Linked DNA regions of Saccharomyces cerevisiae S288C. The protein of the gene in region 1 purifies or fractionates together with the protein of each later gene. This does not show direct contact. Each region holds a gene or a part of one and is shown in the gene's direction. Other genes may lie near its edges. The genes, in order: ISA1 and IBA57.

Evidence for each region.
Region 2: the proteins of ISA1 (region 1) and IBA57 purify together in Saccharomyces cerevisiae (affinity purification with western blotting; one study listed by BioGRID). This does not show direct contact.

The regions. Positions count from the first base shown.
Region 1 is NC_001144.5:85,719-88,880, forward strand, and holds ISA1 (Fe-binding Fe/S cluster assembly protein ISA1), read left to right. Parts: upstream 1-1,684; coding exon 1,685-2,437; downstream 2,438-3,162. Other genes in the region: polyamine transporter TPO1, read left to right, coding at 1-846; chaperone ATPase HSP104, read left to right, coding at 2,905-3,162. UniProt on the Saccharomyces cerevisiae protein: Involved in the assembly of mitochondrial and cytoplasmic iron-sulfur proteins. Probably involved in the binding of an intermediate of Fe/S cluster assembly.
Region 2 is NC_001142.9:648,036-652,100, forward strand, and holds IBA57 (Iba57p), read left to right. Parts: upstream 1-1,740; coding exon 1,741-3,234; downstream 3,235-4,065. Other genes in the region: ATP2 (F1F0 ATP synthase subunit beta), read left to right, coding at 1-1,107; 40S ribosomal protein uS7 RPS5, read left to right, coding at 3,866-4,065. UniProt on the Saccharomyces cerevisiae protein: Required for lysine and glutamate prototrophy and mitochondrial genome maintenance. Has a role in the maturation of mitochondrial aconitase-type and radical-SAM Fe/S proteins biotin synthase and lipoic acid synthase.

The DNA.
Region 1 (3,162 bases):
GTTGTCGGTTGTTTCGCTTCCGCAGTTTTCGTTGCCATCGTATTGTTCTTTGAAGAAACACATCACCCTACCATTTTGGTTAACAAGGCCAAACAGATGAGAAAGCAAAGTAATAACTGGGGTATTCATGCTGCTCATGAAGACGTGGAGCTATCCATCAAAGACATTGTCCAAAAAACTGTGACGAGGCCTATCATTATGCTTTTCGTGGAACCATTGCTACTATTCGTGACTATTTACAACTCTTTTGTCTACGGTATCTTGTATTTGTTACTGGAAGCCTACCCACTTGTCTTTGTGGAGGGTTATGGGTTTACTGAAAACGGTGAGTTGCCATACATCGCCTTGATTATCGGTATGATGGTGTGTGCTGCTTTCATTTGGTATATGGACAACGATTATTTGAAAAGATGTAGAGCCAAGGGGAAATTAGTGCCCGAGGCCAGATTGTACGCAATGGTCATTGCAGGTACCGTTTTCCCTATTGGTATCTTATGGTTCTGTTGGACGGGCTACTATCCTCACAAGATTCATTGGATGGTCCCCACAGTAGGAGGGGCCTTCATCGGGTTCGGTTTAATGGGTATTTTCTTGCCATGTTTAAACTATATCATTGAATCGTATCTATTGTTGGCAGCTTCTGCCGTCGCAGCAAACACTTTCATGAGGTCTGCATTTGGTGCATGCTTCCCATTGTTTGCAGGATATATGTTCCGTGGCATGGGTATCGGTTGGGCTGGTTTGTTATTAGGTCTATTTGCCGCTGCGATGATTCCCGTGCCTTTACTATTCTTAAAATATGGTGAATCTATCAGAAAGAAATCCAAGTATGCTTACGCCGCTTAAGAAAAAGAAAAGCAGAAATCATGCTCTTTCTATATTTGCATTTTTTTATTTCATTGTTATTACTCACCCTGCCCCACGCTCAAAGGGCTCGATAACGACATAGCATTATAGACACTGTGCAGCGTAAAGCTGACATATAAAGAAATTACAAAAAAAAATTAAAAAAAAAAAAAAAAACAATCAAAAAAGACACACAACTACAGAACAAAGGAAATCTTTTTCTATGCACAAGCACAAGAGTACTTAGAGAGTAGTGATATCCCCTTTTTTTTCTACTATTTTTTTTTTTCCCATTTTTTTCCTCCAAGACTCCTCTTATGTGGTTGTTATGTATAGCCCATAGTTACTAAATAAAACACTAATTAATGATTAATAATCCCTCTCTAATAAGAAATAGATAAAAGCTATTGTTCTTCTCATCGCCGGTTCTCGGCGTTGTCCGTACCCTTGGCCGAAACTCGGGCGGGGGCTTATTAGTCATACCCTCAGATTTCATTGGTCAGATAACAGTCACCCGGTAAATGCCCGTTTAATGACTTCTTTATTTTGGATTAAAATTGACAGGGAATTTCAACGGAATAAAGGAAAGAGATTGAGATGCTTTTAATTCATAAAGGAAAGGGAAAGAGGACAGGAAAGCAAGGAAGAGTAATGGAATTTTGCAAATATTTGTAAATCCTTTAGAATTACTAAGAAACTGTTATTTATTGACATTATTTTACTCGTCTTATTTATTTATTTATACATTTGGCCACCATTTTTGCACTCGTACGAAAGACCATTTTAGATTTTTTTGATTTGGTAGTATAACAAACGATCGGAACAATAACGTAACATAATGATAAACACAGGAAGAAGCAGGAATTCAGTACTGCTGGCACACAGATTCCTTTCAACTGGAGGATTTTGGCGAGGCGGTACGAATGGCACAATGTCTCGCACAATCAACAACGTAAATCCTTTCAAATTAAAATTCATACCGAAGACAGTGCCCGCAGCTGCAGACTCTGTCTCTCCAGATAGTCAACGTCCAGGTAAGAAGCCCTTCAAATTCATAGTTTCCAATCAGAGCAAGAGTAGCAAGGCTTCTAAAAGCCCGAAGTGGTCGAGCTACGCATTCCCTTCGCGTGAGACCATCAAATCTCATGAGGAGGCCATCAAGAAGCAGAATAAAGCTATAGACGAGCAAATAGCTGCTGCAGTATCCAAGAATGACTGCTCTTGCACAGAACCTCCCAAGAAAAGAAAGAGGAAATTGAGACCAAGAAAGGCGCTGATCACCCTGAGTCCGAAGGCAATCAAGCATTTAAGGGCACTGCTAGCTCAGCCGGAACCTAAATTGATTAGAGTTAGCGCTAGAAACCGTGGATGTTCAGGACTAACGTACGATCTACAATATATCACCGAGCCGGGGAAATTCGATGAGGTAGTAGAACAAGATGGCGTTAAAATTGTCATCGATTCAAAGGCGTTATTCAGCATCATTGGAAGTGAAATGGACTGGATCGACGACAAGTTGGCCTCTAAGTTTGTCTTCAAGAATCCAAACTCCAAGGGCACATGCGGTTGTGGCGAGAGTTTCATGGTTTAAAAACCTTCTGCACCATTTTTAGAAAAAAAGAATCTACCTATTCACTTATTTATTCATTTACTTATTTATTTACATATTTATCATACATATTAACATTGAACCCTCCATCGTGGTAGTGTTTGCTGTTCCTAACTTTTCTTTCGTTGTTCTTGTAGATATATATTTTTCCAGAATTTTCTAGAAGGGTTATTAATTACAATCTTAAACGTTCCATAAGGGGCCGCGATTTTTTTGTTCAATTTTCAACAGGGGGCCCATCTCAAAGAACTGCAAATTATATCACAGTAAAAGGCAAAGGGGCGCAAACTTATGCAACCTGCCAGATTATTATATAAGGCATTGTAATCTTGCCTCAATTCCTTCATAATTCGTTCCTTTGTCACTTGTTCCTTTTTACCCTTGAATCGAATCAGCAATAACAAAGAAAAAAGAAATCAACTACACGTACCATAAAATATACAGAATATATGAACGACCAAACGCAATTTACAGAAAGGGCTCTAACGATTTTGACGTTGGCTCAAAAATTGGCTTCGGATCATCAACATCCACAATTACAACCTATACATATTCTAGCTGCCTTCATTGAAACGCCAGAAGATGGATCAGTCCCTTACCTACAGAATCTAATTGAGAAGGGCCGTTACGACTATGATCTTTTCAAGAAAGTGGTTAATAGAAATCTAGTAAGAATTCCTCAACAGCAACCTGCACCTGCGGAGATA
Region 2 (4,065 bases), on another chromosome or scaffold:
TCCAAACTAAGAAAGCCAATTCACGCAGACCCTCCTAGTTTTGCAGAACAATCTACTTCGGCTGAAATTTTGGAAACAGGTATCAAAGTCGTCGATCTATTAGCTCCTTATGCCAGAGGTGGTAAGATTGGTCTTTTCGGTGGTGCAGGTGTCGGTAAGACTGTGTTCATTCAAGAATTGATTAACAATATCGCCAAGGCCCATGGTGGTTTTTCCGTTTTCACCGGTGTTGGTGAAAGAACAAGAGAAGGTAATGACTTGTACCGTGAAATGAAGGAAACTGGTGTCATTAACTTGGAAGGTGAATCCAAGGTCGCCTTAGTGTTCGGTCAAATGAACGAACCTCCAGGAGCCAGAGCCAGAGTCGCTTTAACTGGTTTGACGATCGCTGAATATTTCAGAGATGAAGAAGGTCAAGATGTCTTGTTGTTTATCGACAATATCTTTAGATTTACTCAAGCTGGTTCAGAAGTCTCTGCCCTTTTGGGTCGTATTCCATCTGCCGTCGGTTATCAACCAACTTTGGCCACTGATATGGGTCTCTTACAAGAAAGAATTACCACCACAAAGAAGGGTTCTGTCACTTCTGTGCAAGCCGTTTATGTTCCAGCCGATGATTTAACAGATCCTGCTCCTGCCACTACTTTTGCCCATTTGGACGCTACTACCGTCTTGTCAAGAGGTATTTCAGAATTAGGTATTTACCCTGCAGTGGATCCATTGGATTCTAAATCAAGGTTATTGGATGCCGCCGTTGTCGGTCAAGAACATTATGACGTCGCCTCCAAGGTTCAAGAAACTTTACAGACCTATAAATCTTTACAAGATATCATTGCTATTTTGGGTATGGATGAATTGTCCGAACAAGATAAACTAACTGTCGAAAGGGCAAGAAAGATTCAAAGATTCTTATCTCAACCATTTGCTGTCGCCGAAGTCTTTACTGGTATCCCAGGTAAATTAGTGAGATTAAAGGACACCGTTGCCTCGTTCAAAGCCGTTTTGGAAGGTAAATACGATAATATACCAGAACATGCTTTCTATATGGTTGGTGGTATTGAAGATGTTGTTGCTAAAGCTGAAAAGTTAGCCGCTGAAGCCAACTAGAAGAAATAAAGCTTAAACCAAGGGAAGCAAAATTTGAAATACCGAAGGTAGAACAATAAGGATGATGGGAAAAAAAAGATAATTTTTTTTTTTTGTTTTTCCCTGCTTCCTTCTTGTTTATTGGTATTATTATGTTACGATATTCATTCATTATCCTATTGATATTTTCTTTATATTCACTAAAAAAAAATTTATTCTATAAGACTGACTATAATTTTTTTTACTCCCAACTGTAAGTAAATAAAGACTCACCTACGCATACATTTTTTATATATACTATAAGATGTAGGATCTTAAAGAAAAATAAAGAGAAAAAGAGAAGCACACAACCTGCGATAAGTTGTAAGTTTGCCTCAACAGCTATTCTACTCACTTTTTGTATCTTCGGTTAGTATTATTGGGAAGTCATGTTCATCGTACTCACTTTCGCACATGCGATTACGTGTATTACCCTGATTTTCTTTCTGTATTAGCGTATGGCTGACTAATATTCACTTGGGGTCAACATAACTTACTTTCACATATCATGGTAGCTGTTTTAATTACCATTCTATTAGATGCGCTGTATTCCAAATTACCGTTCTCTCATTGAGCTTCTTCCTTAAAGGTTCTTGCCTCGCTTTCCCACTGGACATGTTCATCAGTAGAAGATGCAGAATTAAAGGCTTTACCCTTAAGAATTTGCTGTGGTTCAGGTCATCATCAACTCGATTTGTTTCAACTGAATCACCAGATGCGAGCGCAATTACGAAACCAGATGGTATTTTCAATTATTCTCTGTTGGAAAACAGAACATACATCAGGATACGAGGACCCGACACAGTGAAATTTCTAAACGGATTAGTTACCTCGAAACTATTACCTCATTTTATTAAGAAAAATCTAACCACTGTAGAAGAGAATGAAGTGCCTACTGAAGAAGGAACGACGAAGGTTGATCCAATTATTCCTGTGCCAGAATTTGATGCACGACTGGGAAATTGGGGACTGTATAACGAAAAAGGTATTCAAGGGCCATATATTTCAAGGTTTGGTTTGTACTCTGCATTTTTAAACGGTAAGGGGAAGTTAATAACAGATACAATTATTTACCCCACTCCTGTGACCGTAAGCGAACAAATTTCAAATTATCCTGAGTATCTGTTAGAGCTTCACGGGAATGTAGTGGACAAAATTTTGCACGTTTTACAAACTCACAAGTTGGCCAATAAGATTAAATTCGAAAAAATTGATCATTCCTCCTTGAAAACCTGGGATGTTGAGGTTCAATTCCCTAATTTGCCCAAAGATATTGAAAACCCGTGGTTTGATAATCTACTGGATCCTATGGCTCTACCAAAAAATTCCATAGATGCTAATAATTTTGCTGTTAATGTTTTAAATTCTTTGTTTAACTCAGATCCTAGAATATTGGGTATTTACGTAGAAAGAAGAACTGAGTCAATGTCAAGGCATTACTCCACATTTCCACAATCCTTCAGAGTTGTCACTTCCGAGCAAGTGGATGATCTCTCTAAGCTATTTAACTTTAACGTTTTCGACTTCCCTTTTCAAGTAAATAAAAAAGCTTCCGTTCAAGTTAGAGAAATCAGATTTCAAAAAGGTCTTATAGATAGCACTGAGGATTACATATCTGAGACTTTGCTACCTTTGGAACTAAACTTTGATTTTTTTCCAAACACTATAAGCACAAACAAAGGATGTTATGTAGGACAAGAGCTGACAGCCAGGACATATGCTACAGGCATTCTACGGAAACGTTTGGTCCCAGTTAAGCTGGATAATTATCAACTTTTAGATACAGACCCAGAAAGAAAGTACGCAGAATTCCATATCGACAACGTTGTAGAAAAGAGCCTTGCAGAGAACGAGCCAACCCTCAATCCATTTACCAATAAACCGCCCGAACGAACCAAGAGAAAGCAAAGGCCGGCAGGCTTATTGATTTCTAATGAAGGGCTGTATGGCGTAGCTTTACTTAGAACAGAGCATTTCTCTGCTGCCTTCTCATCTGATGAGCCAGTCGAATTTTACATTACTACAACGAAGGGTGAAAATATTAAAATAACACCTCAAAAACCATTCTGGTTTAGCGACTGGAAAAACAATAACGGGCCTCATAAATAGATTTCACGAAAACACCTTGTAAATACTACTTGTGAATATGCAAATAGGAAATAGATATATGCATACAAATAAGAAACAATGAACAGCCTTGAGTTCTCAAATTTGCATATCATTTGTTACGTAATTCCTTATCAAGACCTTTTATACAACAACACCCATATACCCATAATTATTCTTAACCCATACATATTTGTCTCAAGTTTATTTTTCAGATGAGAATGGCCCTGCATCAGTTTTTTTCCAGAAACTAATTCATGGTAACAAACATTTCGCGCCCTGCTACGGGGAAGGAGAATTCTTTTTCTCCCGCCCAGAACGTAAAGCCTTGTTTCTTTCTACCGTACTGGGCCCGTCTAATTCTGCCCCTTTGCTGGGAAATCTCCTTTGCAAGCTCCCCTACCTTCGCCGCAGGCTTAGTGGAGGTCTCACTGAACCCTTCCACCTTGGGCCAACTTCTACGCTCACGTTAGTAGGTAATGGATTATCCACAATGTGCCCATTAGTTCTAAAATATTTTGTACTTTTTATCAATACTTAAAATTTCATTTTGAATTAAAATTACTTTTTATTTTAATTACACTCCTTTCATAATACCAAGAAAAGAGACTAGAAATAACCGACCATTCCAAAGATGTCTGACACCGAAGCTCCAGTTGAAGTTCAAGAAGATTTCGAAGTTGTTGAAGAATTCACCCCAGTCGTCTTGGCTACTCCAATTCCAGAAGAAGTCCAACAAGCTCAAACCGAGATTAAGTTGTTCAACAAATGGTCTTTTGAAGAAGTTGAAGTTAAGGATGCTTCTTTGGTTGACTACGTTCAAGTTAGACAACC